Xenopus tropicalis: one gene and its partner. The protein of the gene in region 1 purifies or fractionates together with the protein of each later gene. This does not show direct contact. Links are inferred from orthologs where the notes say so. Each region holds a gene or a part of one and is shown in the gene's direction. Other genes may lie near its edges.

The links. The genes of interacting proteins can lie anywhere in the genome.
Region 2: the proteins of rab13 (region 1) and gdi1 purify together in Homo sapiens (affinity purification with mass spectrometry; 4 studies listed by BioGRID and IntAct, counting the BioPlex papers as one, with this or other methods). This does not show direct contact. The link is inferred for Xenopus tropicalis from reciprocal best matches to the Homo sapiens genes RAB13 and GDI1.

Annotation. Positions count from the first base shown.
Region 1 is NC_030684.2:143,558,459-143,561,972, forward strand, and holds part of rab13 (ras-related protein Rab-13), read left to right. Parts: intron 1-89; coding exon 90-150; intron 151-429; coding exon 430-507; intron 508-1,449; coding exon 1,450-1,539; intron 1,540-1,709; coding exon 1,710-1,775; intron 1,776-2,380; coding exon 2,381-2,431; intron 2,432-2,519; coding exon 2,520-2,594; 3' UTR 2,595-3,514.
Region 2 is NC_030684.2:142,341-146,397, forward strand, and holds the start of gdi1 (rab GDP dissociation inhibitor alpha), read left to right. Parts: upstream 1-1,256; 5' UTR 1,257-1,350; coding exon 1,351-1,395; intron 1,396-4,057. UniProt on the Homo sapiens protein: Regulates the GDP/GTP exchange reaction of most Rab proteins by inhibiting the dissociation of GDP from them, and the subsequent binding of GTP to them. Promotes the dissociation of GDP-bound Rab proteins from the membrane and inhibits their activation.

The DNA of each region.
Region 1 (3,514 bases):
GTCCCCCCTAGGCCCAAACTGTACTAATGGCACCGACGTGTTTATGGGTCGGTCTCCGTTTCAGTACTTGACCCAATTCTCTCTTTCAGGGACACAGCAGGGCAGGAGAGGTTTAAAACAATCACAACGGCCTATTACCGGGGGGCCATGGTAAGTGGCACATTTATCTGTTGCTATGGGACCCCTGCTAGTTACAAACAGACCAAGTCTGTGTAAGGGGTAACTAACCAACTGCTGAACTACAATCAAGGATGCTGGGAGTTGTAGTACAGCGGCAGCCCAAGGGCCACTGGCTATAGGTGCTTGTGGGGTTGTGAGATGCACCAATGAGAGTTAAGAAGCTGAGCTGGGTACAAGGGTCTCGGGTTATATGTGGGACTGTGGTTGCTGGGAGTCGCTGGTTCTGATGGTTCTGGGTTTCTCCAACAGGGGATTATTCTGGTCTATGATATCACAGACGAGCGATCCTATGAGAATATCCAGAACTGGATGAAGAGTATTAAAGAGGTAAGTAGAGCCGGGGACACCCCTCTGTGTGATAGAAAATCCTTATGGTAATCAGTATGGCAGCTCCCAGCCTTAACTGTCAGTACAAATATACAGATTCCCCCTTACTAACGGCCCCGGGGTCCCCCTTACTAACGGCCCCGGGGTTCCCCCCTTACTAACGGCCCCGGGGTTCCCCCCTTACTAACGGCCCCGGGGTTCCCCCCTTACTAACGGCCCCGGGGTTCCCCCCTTACTAACGGCCCCGGGGTTCCCCCCTTACTAACGGCCCCGGGGTTCCCCCTTACTAACGGCCCCGGGGTTCCCCCTTACTAACGGCCCCGGGGTCCCCCTTACTAACGGCCCCGGGTTCCCCCTTACTAACGGCCCCGGGGTTCCCCCCTTACTAACGGCCCCGGGGTTCCCCCCTTACTAACGGCCCCGGGGTTCCCCCACACTAACGGCCCCGGGGTTCCCCCACACTAACGGCCCCGGGGTCCCCCACACTAACGGCCCCGGGGTCCCCCACACTAACGGCCCCGGGGTCCCCCACACTAACGGCCCCGGGGTCCCCCACACTAACGGCCCCGGGGTCCCCCACACTAACGGCCCCGGGGTCCCCCACACTAACGGCCCCGGGGTCCCCCACACTAACGGCCCCGGGGTCCCCCACACTAACGGCCCCGGGGTCCCCCACACTAACGGCCCCGGGGTCCCCCACACTAACGGCCCCGGGGTCCCCCACACTAACGGCCCCGGGGTCCCCCACACTAACGGCCCCGGGGTCCCCCACACTAACGGCCCCGGGGTCCCCCACACTAACGGCCCCGGGGTCCCCCACACTAACGGCCCCGGGGTCCCCCACACTAACGGCCCCGGGGTCCCCCACACTAACGGCCCCGGGGTGCCCCCTTACTAACGGCCCCGGGGTGCCACTAATGCCCCTCCCTTCTGTGTGCGCAGAACGCGGCGGCCGGGGTGGAGCGGATGCTGCTGGGTAATAAGTGCGACATGGAGAACAAGCGGAAAGTCCCGAAGGAGCGAGGAGAGAAGGTCAGCGCCGTGTGTGATTGTTTAATAATGAGCAAAATGGCCACTTTGTCTTAAATGTGTTGGGGGCGGGGCTTGGGGCCAAGTAATAATGTGTGTCCCCCAAAGCCTCCTGAGTGGCCAATCAGCTGTCTGTCTGTCTGTACCCAATCATCTTCTCTCTCCTTCTCCAGCTCGCCAAGGAACATGGCATCCGATTCTTTGAGACAAGTGCCAAGTCCAGTCAGAATGTAGATGAGGTTAGTACCAGGGACTGCTAATATCCTTATCATTTACAGTAGGGGGTACATTATCCCTTATAATACATGAGTGATACTCAGAGTTCCCTGTATAACTCAGCCTGCAGCCTTGTGCCTTTATATGGAGGGCACAGAACCCCTCAGTGACTGCTAATATCCTTATCATTTACAGTAGGGGGTACATTATCCCTTATAATACATGAGTGATACTCAGAGTTCCCTGTATAACTCAGCCTGCAGCCTTGTGCCTTTATATGGGGGGCACAGAACCCCTCAGTGACTGCTAATATCCTTATCATTTACAGTAGGGGGTACATTATCCCTTATAATACATGAGTGATACTCAGAGTTCCCTGTATAACTCAGCCTGCAGCCTTGTGCCTTTATATGGGGGGCACAGAACCCCTCAGTGACTGCTAATATCCTTATCATTTACAGTAGGGGGTACATTATCCCTTATAATACATGAGTGATACTCAGAGTTCCCTGTATAACTCAGCCTGCAGCCTTGTGCCTTTATATGGGGGGCACAGAACCCCTCAGTGACTGCTAATATCCTTATCATTTACAGTAGGGGGTACATATAACCTGTATGTATTTTGCAGGCATTTAATACACTGGCCAGAGATATTCTAATGAAGATCTCCAAGAGATCAGTAAGTATATGGAAGGATTTTGGAACAAAGCTCCGCCCCCATTGCCCCCCCCCCCCCCCGATTCTGACTCCTCCCTGTGTTTGTTTAGGCGCCGGGAGTTAAGGACCCGCTGGATCTGAAAAGCTCATCGAAGAAAGGAAGCAACAAGTGTTCGGTGCTTTAATGTGGCGGAAGTGGCCGTCGGGCCCCAGTCAGACTATGGGGAAAGCCAAACGCCTCTGAGCGAACCCCGGGGCCCCACTGTGAAAAGAGGAAAATCTCGGGGTCCCCCCCCTGTTTTCAGGACTATATTGGGGGAATCCAAGCACCACAGGGGTGTTATATCTATAGATTCTAGTAGCAAAATGTCCCCTGCTGGGGGCCCTGAGCAGCGACTCTGCTGCCCCCCGGTGGCGGCTGCCGGAACCCCCTCCTACAGGGGTGAAAGGAGAAGAGCGCAGTTTCGGGGGGCAGAAGGGCCCAGAACTTTGGGATATTCCATGTATGTTCTGATTCGCCCGTGGAAAGGCAACGCTAACGGAATTACGTGGGGTCCTACGAGCACGAATTCAGGGATTTCATAGGAATTATTGTGTTTCCCAACATTCTGTTATTTTGCCAAAAACCACAAAATGGCCGTTCTTAAAGGGATACTGTCGCCATTATAGGCAGTTTCATTCCATAGAATCATATTTTATTATAGATATATATAGTGATAGTGGCATTCTGCATTTCGGCATTTTATTGGCTGGTGAATCACGTGACTAGCTCTACTTCCTCTCCGGCTAAGCACAGCAGCCGCCACCTTGCTTTATGGCTGGGCCATTAGAATTCATAGCAATAGTCTGTCTGTGAGAGAGAATTCAGCCTTCTTCTACCAACTCTTTTTCAAAGGGGGGTCACTGACCCCGGCAGCCAAACCCTATTGCTCTGTGAGGCTCGCTGGTTGCTAAGATAATTTGAGCCCTAGCAACAGTATATCTGACCCCGGCAGCCAAACCCTATTGCTCTGTGAGGCTCCAGTTTTATTGTTACTGTTACTTTTTATCCCTTATCTTTCTATTCGGCCCCTCCCCTATTCGTATATCAGCCTCTCGTTCAAAC
Region 2 (4,057 bases), about 140 Mb from region 1:
CAATGAGAGAGGGGTAATTGGATAGACAACAGGCAGAACTCTCAGTGAGAGCAGGGTAATTGGGCAGATAGCAGACAGGACACCCAATGAGAAGGGGTAATTGGGCAGATAGCAGACAGGACACCCAATGAGAAGGGGTAATTGGGTAGATAACAGGCAGGACACCCAATGAAAGAGGGGTAATTGGGCAGATAACAGGCAGGACACCCAATGAGAGAGGGGCAATTGGGTAGATAACAGGCAGGACTCCCAAAGAGAAGGGGTAATTGGGTAGATAACAGGCAGGACTCCCAATGAGAGAGGGGTAATTGGGCAGATAACAGGCAGGACTCCCAATGAGAGAGGGGTAATTGGGCAGATAACAGGCAGGACTCCCAATGAAAGGGGGGTAATTGGGCAGATAACAGACAGGACTCCCAATGAGAGAGGGGTAATTGGGCAGATAACAGACAGGACACCCAATGAGAGAGGGGTAATTGGGCAGATAACAGGCAGGACTCCCAATGAGAGAGGGGTAATTGGGCAGATAACAGGCAGGACACCCAATGAGAGAGGGGTAATTGGGCAGATAACAGGCAGGACTCCCAATGAGAGAGGGGTAATTGAGCAGATAACAGGCAGGACACCCAATGAGAGAGGGGTAATTGGGCAGATAACAGGCAGGACTCCCAATGAAAGGGGGGTAATTGGGCAGATAACAGGCAGGACTCCCAATGAGAGAGGGGTAATTGGGCAGATAACAGGCAGGACTCCCAATGAGAGGGGGGTAATTGGGCAGATAACAGACAGGACTCCCAATGAGAGAGGGGTAATTGGGCAGATAACAGACAGGACACCCAATGAGAGAGGGGTAATTGGGCAGATAACAGGCAGGACTCCCAATGAGAGAGGGGTAATTGGGCAGATAACAGGCAGGACACCCAATGAGAGAGGGGTAATTGGGCAGATAACAGGCAGGACACCCAATGAGAGAGGGGCTATTACACAGATAACAGCCAGTGCCCCACCCTCCCATCTTTAGCCCCCCCAGTATCCCTTGCTGGGAAGATGCAGACGCGGAAGGATCTATTTTCACAGCCGCATAACTAAGGTCACACGCCCTCTTCCTTATTGTCCCTCTGTGGTGTCTGTGGGCCCCGCATGGGGGGCTGTTAGGGACTAAGTGAGACGGTGCCCGGCAGTGCAGCTCGGTACTAGCGATACTGGCTGTTGGGGGCCGTAGGGTGGGGCAGGGGGTGGGGTTAGAGGAAGGAACTATTTGCTGGCGCGGAAGGAGACAGGGCGGTGAAGCTGTTCCTCCATCTTTGGTCCAGCTCAGCTTCCAGCTCCGCACTCTCCCCTCACGGCGCGATGGATGAGGAGTACGATGTGATCGTGTTGGGTACCGGCCTGACGGTGAGTGGCCATGGGGGCCTGGCTGGGTACTGGGGGGTCCTACTCGCTCTTTTATTCTGGGGCCCCAGGAAAGGCTTCAGGGGGCAGTTACACGGGCTGGAGTGGGTAGTGCCTGGGGCAATTACTGTTATAGGCCTAGTAATGCCCTATGGGTATGGGGGCAGGGCCCCTCACTGTCAGCTGGGGGCATTGATGGGATGTATGGGGGCACTGACATGTACTGGGGGGAAATAACATGAATACAGGGCCGTGCCACTCTCTGGTACAGGCTGGGGGCACTGACACGTACTGGGGGGAAATAACATGAATACAGGGCCGTGCCACTCTCTGGTACAGGCTGGGGGCACTGACATGTACTGGGGGGAAATAACATGAATACAGGGCCGTGCCACTCTCTGGTACAGGCTGGGGGCACTGACACGTACTGGGGGAAATAACAGGAATACAGGGCCGTGCCACTCTCTGGTACAGGCTGGGGGCACCGACATGTACTGGGGGGAAATAACAGGAATACAGGGCCGTGCCACTCTCTGGTACAGGCTGGGGGCACTGACATGTACTGGGGGGGAAATAACATGAATACAGGGCCGTGCCACTCTCTGGTACAGGCTGGGGGCACCGACATGTACTGGGGGGAAATAACAGGAATACAGGGCCGTGCCACTCGCTGGTACAGGCTGGGGGCACTGACATGTACTGGGGGAAATAACATGAATACAGGGCTGTGCCCACTCTCTGGTACAGGCTGGGGGCACTGACATGTACTGGGGGGAAATAACATGAATACAGGGCCGTGCCACTCTCTGGTACAGGCTGGGGGCACCGACATGTACTGGGGGGAAATAACATGAATACAGGGCCGTGCCACTCTCTGGTACAGGCTGGGGGCACCGACATGTACTGGGGGGAAATAACAGGAATACAGGGCCGTGCCACTCTCTGGTACAGGCTGGGGGCACCGACATGTACTGGGGGGAAATAACATGAATACAGGGCCGTGCCACTCGCTGGTACAGGCTGGGGGCACTGACATGTACTGGGGGGAAATAACATGAATACAGGGCCGTGCCACTCTCTGGTACAGGCTGGGGGCACCGACATGTACTGGGGGGAAATAACATGAATACAGGGCCGTGCCACTCGCTGGTACAGGCTGGGGGCACTGACATGTACTGGGGGGAAATAACAGGAATACAGGGCCGTGCCACTCTCTGGTACAGGCTGGGGGCACTGACATGTACTGGGGGAAATAACATGAATACAGGGCCGTGCCACTCTCTGGTACAGGCTGGGGGCACTGACATGTACTGGGGGGAAATAACATGAATACAGGGCCGTGCCACTCTCTGGTACAGGCTGGGGGCACTGACATGTACTGGGGGGAAATAACAGGAATACAGGGCCGTGCCACTCTCTGGTACAGGCTGGGGGCACTGACATGTACTGGGGGGAAATAACAGGAATACAGGGCCGTGCCACTCTCTGGTACAGGCTGGGGGCACTGACATGTACTGGGGAGAAATAACAGGAATACAGGGCCGTGCCACTCTCTGGTACAGGCTGGGGGAACTGACATGTACTGGGGGGAAATAACATGAATACAGGGCCGTGCCACTCGCTGGTACAGGCTGGGGGCACTGACATGTACTGGGGAGAAATAACAGGAATACAGGGCCGTGCCACTCTCTGGTACAGGCTGGGGGCACCGACATGTACTGGGGGGAAATAACATGAATACAGGGCCGTGCCACTCGCTGGTACAGGCTGGGGGCACTGACATGTACTGGGGGGAAATAACATGAATACAGGGCCGTGCCACTCGCTGGTACAGGCTGGGGGCACTGACATGTACTGGGGGAAATAACAGGAATACAGGGCCGTGCCACTCTCTGGTACAGGCTGGGGGCACTGACATGTACTGGGGGGAAATAACAGGAATACAGGGCCGTGCCACTCTCTGGTACAGGCTGGGGGCACTGACATGTACTGGGGAGAAATAACAGGAATACAGGGCCGTGCCACTCGCTGGTACAGGCTGGGGGCACTGACATGTACTGGGGGGAAATAACATGAATACAGGGCCGTGCCACTCGCTGGTACAGGCTGGGGGCACCGACATGTACTGGGGGAAATAACATGAATACAGGGCCGTGCCACTCTCTGGTACAGGCTGGGGGCACCGACATGTACTGGGGGGAAATAACATGAATACAGGGCCGTGCCACTCTCTGGTACAGGCTGGGGGCACTGACATGTACTGGGGGGAAATAACAGGAATACAGGGCCGTGCCACTCGCTGGTACAGGCTGGGGGCACTGACATGTACTGGGGGGAAATAACAGGAATACAGGGCCGTGCCACTCTCTGGTACAGGCTGGGGGCACTGACATGTACTGGGGGGAAATAACAGGAATACAGGGCCGTGCCACTCTCTGGTACAGGCTGGGGGCACTGACATGTACTGGGGGGAAATAACAGGAATACAGGGCCGTGCCACTCTCTGGTACAGGCTGGGGGCACTGACATGTACTGGGGGGAAATAACAGGAATACAGGGCCGTGCCACTCTCTGGTACAGGCTGGGGGCACTGACATGTACTGGGGGAAATAACAGGAATACAGGGCCGTGCCACACTCTGGTACAGGCTGGGGGCACTGACATG